Bombyx mori: one gene and its partner. Each later gene encodes a partner of the first gene's protein in a complex. Links are inferred from orthologs where the notes say so. Each region holds a gene or a part of one and is shown in the gene's direction. Other genes may lie near its edges.

Evidence for each region.
Region 2: DNA polymerase alpha catalytic subunit (region 1) and DNA primase small subunit share a complex: the UniProt entries of both Drosophila melanogaster proteins name them as parts of the alpha DNA polymerase complex. The link is inferred for Bombyx mori from reciprocal best matches to the Drosophila melanogaster genes PolA1 and Prim1.

The regions. Positions count from the first base shown.
Region 1 is NC_085121.1:13,175,998-13,181,350, forward strand, and holds the start of DNA polymerase alpha catalytic subunit, read left to right. Parts: upstream 1-2,279; 5' UTR 2,280-2,457; coding exon 2,458-2,473; intron 2,474-2,559; coding exon 2,560-2,757; intron 2,758-3,034; coding exon 3,035-3,216; intron 3,217-3,699; coding exon 3,700-3,909; intron 3,910-4,537; coding exon 4,538-4,597; intron 4,598-5,001; coding exon 5,002-5,353. UniProt on the Drosophila melanogaster protein: Catalytic subunit of the DNA polymerase alpha complex (also known as the alpha DNA polymerase-primase complex) which plays an essential role in the initiation of DNA synthesis.
Region 2 is NC_085116.1:10,063,116-10,068,332, forward strand, and holds the start of DNA primase small subunit, read left to right. Parts: upstream 1-1,974; 5' UTR 1,975-2,128; coding exon 2,129-2,131; intron 2,132-2,199; exon of another isoform or gene 2,200-2,200; coding exon 2,201-2,457; intron 2,458-2,595; coding exon 2,596-2,765; intron 2,766-3,132; coding exon 3,133-3,331; intron 3,332-4,051; coding exon 4,052-4,259; intron 4,260-4,472; coding exon 4,473-5,159; 3' UTR 5,160-5,217. Other genes in the region: uncharacterized protein LOC101739672, read right to left, coding at 830-1,033, 1,180-1,231. UniProt on the Drosophila melanogaster protein: Catalytic subunit of the DNA primase complex and component of the DNA polymerase alpha complex (also known as the alpha DNA polymerase-primase complex) which play an essential role in the initiation of DNA synthesis.

The DNA.
Region 1 (5,353 bases):
ATTACACCCTAATGACAATTCCAATTAATTAATGTTACCTGTTCAATAGAAGATTAAGTTTGTAGTAGATCCCTAGAAACATGTGATGTGATTGCATGGTTAATGAAGCATCTCCTAGAGGTTGTTATTGGGTTGCAGTGATTAACTACATTAAGAAATCTATTTTTTAATTGAAATATAGATAAATATCTATATTCGTATATGCAACATGACTATACTATAATATGTACCTCGCACAGTAACTAGTTTCCCAATATGTTCAGCCTTAACTTCTCTGATAGGTACACTTTTCGATGTTGACAAGTCTTTGAAGTACACTTCACTAAAATAAAGAAATACTTATTTTACAAATTGTTATTTCATAATATGGCAATTTAATTTGACTTTAAATTAAAATCTATTCTTCTATTTAATATGAGTGAGTGGGATGACAAATCAAATTAGGTAAATAAAAGTTTTAAATGTATTTTTTATACAATCCAAACCTCAATCTAACTCATATAAAGGAATATAAAGGATCAATTCTTAAGAAAAAATCTCTCATAAGTTAGACAAACCTAAATGTATTACCAGTATACTTGTTTATTTACAGTTAAAAATTCTCAGAACTTAATATAAAAACAACTTACAATCTCCTGATGAGCTCTGGTGGGTATCTGTTCCTAGGATCCCTCATTTCTCCAGGAATCCTGTGGTTTCTGGCTTCCAACATAATTCTGTGCTCAATGTATACATCCAAGGAATCCTTTGCTACTACCTGATATTGTTATATAATTTGTTTTTTTAATTTTGAGTTATATTATACTGTGATATAACATTCAAACACTAATAGCTCAGGAAAGACTACAATAGCAGAACCGTTTTTTGTGTTGCAATGTCCAGTGGTTAGAATAATTAAGCATTAGCTTTAACGAAACAAACATTGCATGTGAAAACAATTTTATATAAAATTTTATTTGATAATTCATTTTATTTATATTTGTGTAACACAACTGTAATGTGCAACACACGTAATGAAAAATATTCTATTCATTTTATACAATGAATGAAATTATAAGGTCACATACATTATGTACATTTACGCAGCAATTTGCACATAAATGCTTTCTGTTATTGTTAGTATAATTGCTTTTTCCCATTTTTGCTACAATCTTTAAGCTTTGCATAATTATATCAATGCTTACCTCTTTGAATTTGTAATCAGGCAGCATTTCATAAACCACGTCTGACACCATATTAGTGTATCTTCTGGTATTTTGTTTGACTGCCTCAGTCAAATCTTCATTCATCTCATGTAAATCATCCAAGTCAACTTCAAATGCTATCTATAATAAAAAATTAGTTTTTGTTATTAACGTCTTCTTGCTTCCTGTGTGCCCTAAGCAGGCAGTCATGATGTGTATTGAGGTTTAGTTTAGTTTGATTTCAGTTACATAAAAATTTCGGTAATTTAAAGTATAATTCATACAACAAGCTATAATTTTTTTTAATCCTAACTTTCTGTTATCCTAATAACTGTATACACATAAATAAACTAATCTTCATTATCTGCTAATAATCATTATCTTGATCCTGCGATAGTTTACAATAAGATAACAATTATACCTTATAGTAAAACTGGAAAAATTGTCCCAGCAATAAAATAAGTGAAATTATATTATTATATCATTCAAAGAACTAGAAACTACAACTACCCTAACCTCAACATAGCATTGTATTTTTATTATTATTATGAACCGAACAATCTTACCTGTTCTCTGTGTGCAACTTTAGTAAGTTGTTCAGCATATTTAAAATACTTTTTTCCTTCATCATCAGTTTGACAAAAATCAACGAAAAAGTTCTTGAAAGATTCTGTAAAGGTTTATTGAAATTATTTAATCGTTCATAATTTTGGTAATATGCTCGATCTTCTTCAAGTACCTTTATCTGCAGTGTAATCACGCATTGCCATTATGTTAGAAATATGTTATTCGAATAATTGCTGTCTTCAAATACTAATCACAAATGTATCACCAGCACCGATCACAAGCATCACAACAAATGTTTTTTGACAGTTACAAATTGGCGCGAAATTTGTGAAACTAAGAAGATTTTTATTTCTAAATGGATAGGTAAAGGGAACAACTCGCATATTAAAAGTCTTCTAAAAAAGGGCAAAAACGAAATCTACGACATGCAAATTTCACACCATATACCTTATCCTTTAGTAGAACATGAAGACTTTAATTAATTAATTTAGAAAAGAGATTCGACTGTATAGTATGATATCCTCGCCCTTTCTGTTGCAAAACGGAATACAAATATCAAATGTCAATCACAGCTGAAGGCTTTCAAAGTGGATACGCGCCAAAATATCTAAAAAGAATTTAACCTAATCAAAATATTAGTGTTTCTTGTAAATGTAAATTGTTTTAAACTTATATATGTGTACAAAAGAAAAGCTATTAAAAGAGAATGGCCGATTCAATAGGTACTGCAATACTTAAGTCTGTATCTAGGATGCATTTAGTTTCGAAACTCCTTGAACATTTAACAAAATGTATTTACTGTTTGTAGCTGCTCAGCGTGCGAAGCGACAAAAAACAGACCGACACGGTCGATTCTCGGCGTTTGAGAAGCTAAAACAATTAAAAGGGAAAGGTGTAAAGCATAAGTACGATGTGGATGTGCTTGAGAATGTGTACGACACTGTTGACGAGAAAGAATACACAGAAAGAGTTCTACAGCGACAAGAAGACGATTGGATAGAAGATGGTAAATCCATATTACAAATCAGTACATAATTTTTAGTTTCAACTAATAATATTAACTAGACTTTTCAAAAAAGTTTCACATATAAATTTTCAAAATCCTTATTTATTAAATGTTTAAAGTGACTACAAACCGAATTGAAATTTTCAAGTGAGAAAACATCCATTCTGTAAATTAAATGTGCATTAGTGACACAGTAATGTTTGTTTTCAATACTGGCTATACTTAACGAGTGAAAAATATGTATTAGAAGATTCAACTAATGTAACAAACTTTTTAGATGGTACTGGCTATGTTGAAGATGGAAGGGAGATATTTGATGATGATGATGATGCTTATGAAGCAACAAATAGTAAAGATACAGGCAGAGGACAGAAAAGGAAGGCCAAAGTTGCAGCACAGTCCTCAGGAAAAGGGAATATACGAAACTTAATTGGTAACATGCCTAGTAAGAAAAAAGAGGTTTGTTATATTTCATTTATTTAATTTATATTTAAGAATGCAATCCATTGATATCTATGATTATAATGTTTTAGATAGGATATTTTAAGTACTAATTAGTTCTTATGTATCGGGGACATCCTTCTGATAATTTTAGGAAAAATATAAAAACTATAGTCTTCTATAGAGTTACAGACTATGACAAATATAATTATAGTCTAGATTCCAAGAGAAAAGTGCAAAAACTTAATAATTTTTTGCATAATATAGATCCAACCTTATATTTCTGAAATAAAGATTAATAAAAAAAAATATTTTTATAACCTGTAATCCTAGTAAAAACAGGGTTAATTTAATTTGGTACTTGAGCAACTTTGACTACTTCTCTAAACTAAATTCCCTGTTTAATTGCACATATTATCAAATAATTGGCAACTTGGTAATGTTTGAATCCTAACTTAATTTTTTATTAGTAATTTAATATGTTGTTTTTCTTTCTTTCAGGATGTAAAGATTTCAGAAGATAATATTTTATCTGATATTATATCTGATTTGGATGCTAACACTGCATCAAATGTAGTAAAATCTACACTGCCTATAACTAAAACTAACATTGTGGATACAAGTAAGAGAGATGCACAAAACTACTTCAAAAGTCTTTCTGCTAACGTCAAGAAACCTTCTGTACTAAAAACATTCAAGGAAGAAAAGGAGGCATGTATCATTTTTTCATTTGTATCGAGTTATTAACTGTTAGTCTAAGGGGCTATTCCAAATACTTGGAGAATTTGCCAACACTAGCCTTAGCGCGAGCAGTTCTTGGCAGAATTCACCACTAGATCAGAATCACGACCTATTGAGAAGATCTAGCAAGAAACTCAGCCAGCTGTGTCACTGGTTAATTCGGTTGTCGTTATCGACGAGTTCGACTAGGTCCGGTGCTTGAAGAGCAAAAAATGTCAAAGATATGTAAAAAGTATGTAATTAGCAGTGACCAGAATAAGAGAATTATCATATCCCGCCGCTTTGTCGAAATAGCGTTTTGACGATACCTAAATTAGTTACGTATTGGTTCTAAATTTAAGTCTTCTGTGCTTTTCCTGTAACCTGATTGGATAATTATTTATAAAAGTATAAATGTTGTAGTAGCTGATACTGAATAGTAATTTATTCATGTAACACAATTTGAAAAGTAAACTTCGCATTAAAAGGTCGTCGAAAATATATAACGAAATGTATTTATGCAGAATGTACCCATTGAAAATCGTTCTCTCTACACAAAACAGATGTTACATTACTAAAATAATTTGCAACAGCAAGCTAAAACTTGTTATTATTTCAGACTGAAAGTATTGAGCCAGACACATCTGCAGTACAGTGTGAAAAAAATATGGTAAATATGGTAAAGTTAAATATTTTTTAATTGTATTTTAAATATCCTTGATATTATTGATGATGACAGATTACCTACCTAATGATTAGTGGTTTCTGCCCCTTGTAGACATCAGCAATACCAGAGCTACACATAGCCAATCTCCTGTGGACACTTTTCGAACCTTGTTTAAAATAGAACATCATAGCAATCCGGTTAGCATGGAGGGTGAGAGAGAGCCAGATGATATCCAGTGCTATAGAAGAAACAACTCCTTAGTAATTCCATAAAACCTTCGATAATAACATGGAGACAACAATCATTCTATTAACTCTATTCTATAATTTATTACATGTAAAGTTTGTTTTTGTTTAAATAAAGTGTAACAGCCACAGCCTACAAATATTAACAAATATATTATTTTAACCTCACAGATAAATCATGTGGTAAATGAACCTGCAAATAAGAAAATCAAGAAACCAGAATGGAACATTGAAAAAGAAATCAAGCAAGAACTTAATGAAACGCTTACTCCTAATATAGAAGAATTTGAAACACAAGATATTGACTTTGACGATGACTTCAGCAATGATGCAAAAACGTCCCAAGTGAAAAACGAGCCTGTCAGCACCGGAACTATCACCGAAAATCCTACAACAGACATCACTGATGAATTTTTCAATGACGAATTTGAAATATTCCCTTTACCAAAGAAAGAAACTACGAAAGAACTGAAACCATTGACTAGTACATGGCCAGAACAAGGAGGTGACAACCAAACTGTGT
Region 2 (5,217 bases), on another chromosome or scaffold:
AGTCCACAAAGTTTGATTAGCTGTTGAAATTATTTATGCAGCCGCCAATGATATTTTATATGTAAAAAGAAAGAAAGTAAATATTGTATAAAAGATCATTGACAGCCGCTATTAACGAGACTCTCAAATATATTAAGTGTATAATCTATGAACGAGACAGTACAATGGTGTCATCCTTTTACTTTATTTCAATGCAATTAATATCTCAATGACATGAATCTTACTCGTGTCTTGATTAAAAAATATAACGTTCTACAATAAATGGTTCTAATTTTTTTCTTGAAATTTGACTCTACAATCCTATACCAGACAATACGTCATCCAGTTCTCAAATACAACATACTGTTCACAAAAATACCGACTCGAACCGGATATTGTACCCCGTTAATAAGCCGCTGAATATTTTTCAGGTTACAAACGTCCACTGCTGGACATAGGCCTTCCCAAACCTCGCCACAACGACCAGTTTTGTGCTACCTACATCCAGTGGATTCCAGCGAATCTCAAAGTTGTCAGTCCACCTTGTTTCCCCTCATTCCTGATATAATGTTGTCGGAAAACTCCGAGCATCACCATCGCCACTGCTCTTTGGGTGACATTGAGCTTTCTGATAATGTCCATTGAGAGCGATTACGACATAATGCAATATGTCACACACCGGTCAATGACTTTCGTCTTGAGACAATGTGTGATATTTATGATGTGGCTATCTTTCTAAGGCAGGCTATAGAGTTTTCTAAATAGTATTACAGCCTTGTCTGAAATTTTAATATTTTTTTTTTTAATTCTTTAATATTCAGTATCTAATATTAGTAGTATAGTAACTTACCTTCTAAAAATACAATTACTAGAAATATAGTTGAGGTCATCAAAATAACAGTTACAGAAAAAAACGTAGATATAAGCAGTAAATTTAATAACCAGGCTGCTATTAAAGTCATTGCCAATGGCTTTCTTAGCAACGATTCGATCAATACCTTTGATGCATTAAGAAATTTTTCCGAAGTCTTGCAATACGAATTGTGCAGTGAACCTGAAAATATAGACGAATAATTATTTTCGTAAATTAAAGTAAATACTGTTGGTGGTTTAAACCACAAACACATGTGAAAAGTATTTTAAAAGATCCATTACTTATTAAATTAGGGTTTACGGTTATTTTTTAATGTTCCTACTTACGAAATGACATTTTTACTACTATTAAAAAAGCGGTGTCTTTATTAATTTCCATATTGTTTTAGTAGTCAGAATTTCAGCAGTTTTGACATCAATAACTAAATCAAGATTCAATTCACACACAAAGCTGAATAAAATTTAGGGTAGGTAGTTGAAAAATGTTTACGGGTAGGTTAAAAAATTTTTTTTACATTTGAGTCGACTATTATCAAAGGCGGCAATCTGACTTTTGGACAATGATTGGTAAATCAGAAAAACGAATTATTGACTTTGTATTCCATTGGCAGTCACAAAACTCTTCGGAACGACATCTTAGATAAATAACAGGTTAACTATTAACCTTTATTTAATGCAGGTTTTGAACCGTATTCTTTGAAAGAGACGATTATATTCAAATAAATCTGTATTGACATATCAATAAAAATTTTTTGTCCAAATGTACAGATTGCCGCCTTTGTTAATAGACGACTCATTTAATCGATTCTACAAATTTTCGGTCTCGGATTCCTAATTAGTTTTTATTAAAGGATTTAATGACTTGGTAACTAAGACTTTTAAGTCATGTCTTATTTTAATTTATATTCTTATGTTTATGAAAAATGATATTAAGGAGTGAAATGAAATGAAGATGATTAATTTGAGACATTAATCAACTGGGATGAAATTAAATGAAATGAGATGAGATGGTATGGAATGAAATATAATCTCAGTAAAATGACTGAGATTATAGATAGAGAGATATCATCTCATCTCATTTCATTTAATTTCATCCCAGTTGATTAATGTCTCAAATTAATCATCTTCATTTCATTTCATTTCACTCCATATTGGTTATCATTTTTCATAAAAATAAGAATATAAATTAAAATAAGACATGACTTAAAGGTATTAGTTATCAGGTCATGAAATCCCTAAAAAAAATGTCATTATAGGAGTTGTTGTTTTGGTAAAAATGGTAAGTTCAAATTCAAACTGATCTAAATAAAAAACTAAACTTCTGATTAATATCAATTTAATTGTACAGATTGGCGAACACAATGAAAACATTCTATCTGATATGCTACCCACTTACTATGCCAGGCAATTTCCGCAAAATATATTCTGTAGATGGCTAGCATGCGGTAGTTCGCCTCAACCGCTCTGTAACAGAGAATTATCATTTACTTTAGCTGACGATGTCTACCTCCGTTATTTGTCGATTTCGCATCAAAAGGATTTACAAACCCTTCTTCAAAAGAAATGTCCACACAAATTGGATGTTGGAGCAGTTTACAACACAAAGTATGTTTTATGTCTAAAAGTTTGTATGAAGTTAAAATATCATGCTTGAATATTTAATAAAGTAAATTTCATTTATTAGCATTTAAAAAGCAATATTACACTCTTTTATTGTCACTTGGTATTCTTCCGTTATTTAAGGCCTTCTGTAGGAAGACATGACGCTGTAGTGATATCGCGAGAACTAGTATTCGATATAGATTTAACAGACTATGATGAAATAAGAACATGTTGTCAAGAAGCTAGAGTGTGTGAAAAATGCTGGAAATTTATGGTTATTGCATGTGAAATCATTGATAAAGCTTTAAAAGGTAAATACATGATTTACTTTACTGAGCTACAGACCATTAAAGATTCTTCTATATTTCTATATTTATTTACCACACCACACTCATTAAAATGTAACCTATCTCATGCATACTTGGGGTGGCGAAAAAAAACTACAAAACCATATGTCCAGCAGAGGATGTTTGTGGGCCAATAGAAAAAAAAAAGAAAACCAAAACATATTTACACTGTAGTAGTTAGTTACTTATATATTTCCACTAGTGAATGGATTTTGACTTCAATTATCCACATCTATAGTATTATTTTCATGATACAAGTGATTCATGATTCTTATAATTGACAAAATGATTGATTGAATTCAAATTCACATCCTTGACTTACTAATTTCAGATGACTTCGGGTTCCAAAGCATCCTGTGGGTATTTTCAGGTCGGCGTGGTATTCACTGTTGGGTATCAGATTATGAAGCCAGAACTCTCGATAGTCCAGGTCGAGGAGCTATTGCCGATTACCTTTGTTTAATCGTAGGTGGTGAAAACCAAAGTAAAAAAGTGCATCTTGGCAATGAAAACTTACATTCCAGTATAAGGTTATATCATTTTTTTTTAATTTGATATTCTTACATGAGATTTACATAAATATTTTTTGAAAATGATAGATGATCATAATTTTGTTGATAATAATTTTGTTAATTACTTCTCGCAAAATTAAAAATTACTTTTATGAGTCGATCTACCCATCCAAAGAAGATTAATAAGAAAATACTATTATTTTCTTTCATAAGCTGCTGGAGCACATTACCAGAGTTTTGACCAGTAAAAATCATTACTAAGGCTAAGGGAAAAGTGATTATGATGTAACACTGTATTATTATTGGTTACATGTGAAAATAATTTACATTGGTCATGCTAATCAGAATTTAGAATGCTTAGAATGTTACCTTGATATAATGTCACATATCAAGATCAGGACTAGATTTGACACAAAGTCCCTTTTATATACATACCTTTATATACTTTACAAGTGTATACAGTAAGACATCACCCCCAAACTTATAATTTTAATACCGCTGTCCTTATCATTTTCACTAATAAACTTTTACACTTTATAATTTTATACTACACATAACTTATATAACACTCCCTTGAGGAAGTTACGCATTCCCTTGTATATTTACACGTTTCATGTTCGATCTGATATTCATTTTCGTAAGGAGAATGAGTTAGGCATTAAGTTTACTAATATATAAAATACATGAAGTGTAAGTAATAAATAAATTAAAAATAGTATATTTAAATACTTGTTCCAGGCGTGCCTTAAATATAATAGACAAATACTTTGAACAATTATTACAAGATCAGGAATTTTTAGCAACAGATAAGCTAAACTCATTTTTGAAGTTGATACCAGATGATGCGTTAAAATCACAGGTTGAAACAACTTTGAAAAAAATGCAGGAACCATCATTGAATAAGTGGAACACTTTTATAAATATTTATGAAAATTATTGCAGAGAGGTAAAAAAATAATAAAATTTTGACATAAAGAAAAATTTGGTACTTCATTAAAAATTAGAAATTCATTGAAAAGTCGTTGGCATTTGTTTTTTAAACTGCTTAAATTTTTTTCCAAGGATACAGTTCAAGATTAACCTACATATTAGAAGTTGTGTCCTAAAAAATATGCATATATATGTATGACTCTATTTTGTCATGTTTTTCAATTTGTAGAATGGAAATGTTATACGAAAAATAAAATATCTTATAGAAGAAATAAAAATTCAATATTGCTACCCCAGATTAGATGTTAATGTGACAAAAGGTTTCAATCACTTGCTCAAGTCTCCATTCAGTATACATCCGAAAACTGGAAAAGTGTCTGTTGTTTTCAAGTCAGCAAATGCAAAGAATTTGAAGATCGATGAAATACCAACAATATACAGTTTATTAGATGATAGTGTCGCCGAAAATAACCAACATGAAACTAATATGAAAGCGGCTGTTAAAATTTTCCAAGAACTTGTATTCGCTTTGGAGAAAACTGAAGCTATGAGAAAACGCAGTGATGCCAGTAAGACTATTTTAGTTTTTGTTATCTTGTTTATGTCTACTACTACTACTGAGCTGGCGCTATCACCACTGGCGCTGTCACACCAGCGGTACTTGGGCCTCCCTACGGGGCGGCGTCCCTCCGGTACACCCGTTTCACAGCCCGATCCTGCTCCATACGTACTACATGTCCGAACCATCCGAGCCTCCGTGCCTTCATCTCCCCCAGAATATTTCGCTCACCAAAAAGCCTCTCCACATCCTTATTTTTCCGGACGTGCCAAGAACCGTCTTCTTTCCGAACTGGTCCTAGTATTTTTCTCAATACCTTTCGCTCAATACCTTTGTTTCGGAGCGAAAGGTTGTTAATGTCTAAACTGAAATAATAACCAGAGTAAATGTTAAATGTGTTTAAATGGAACTTGTC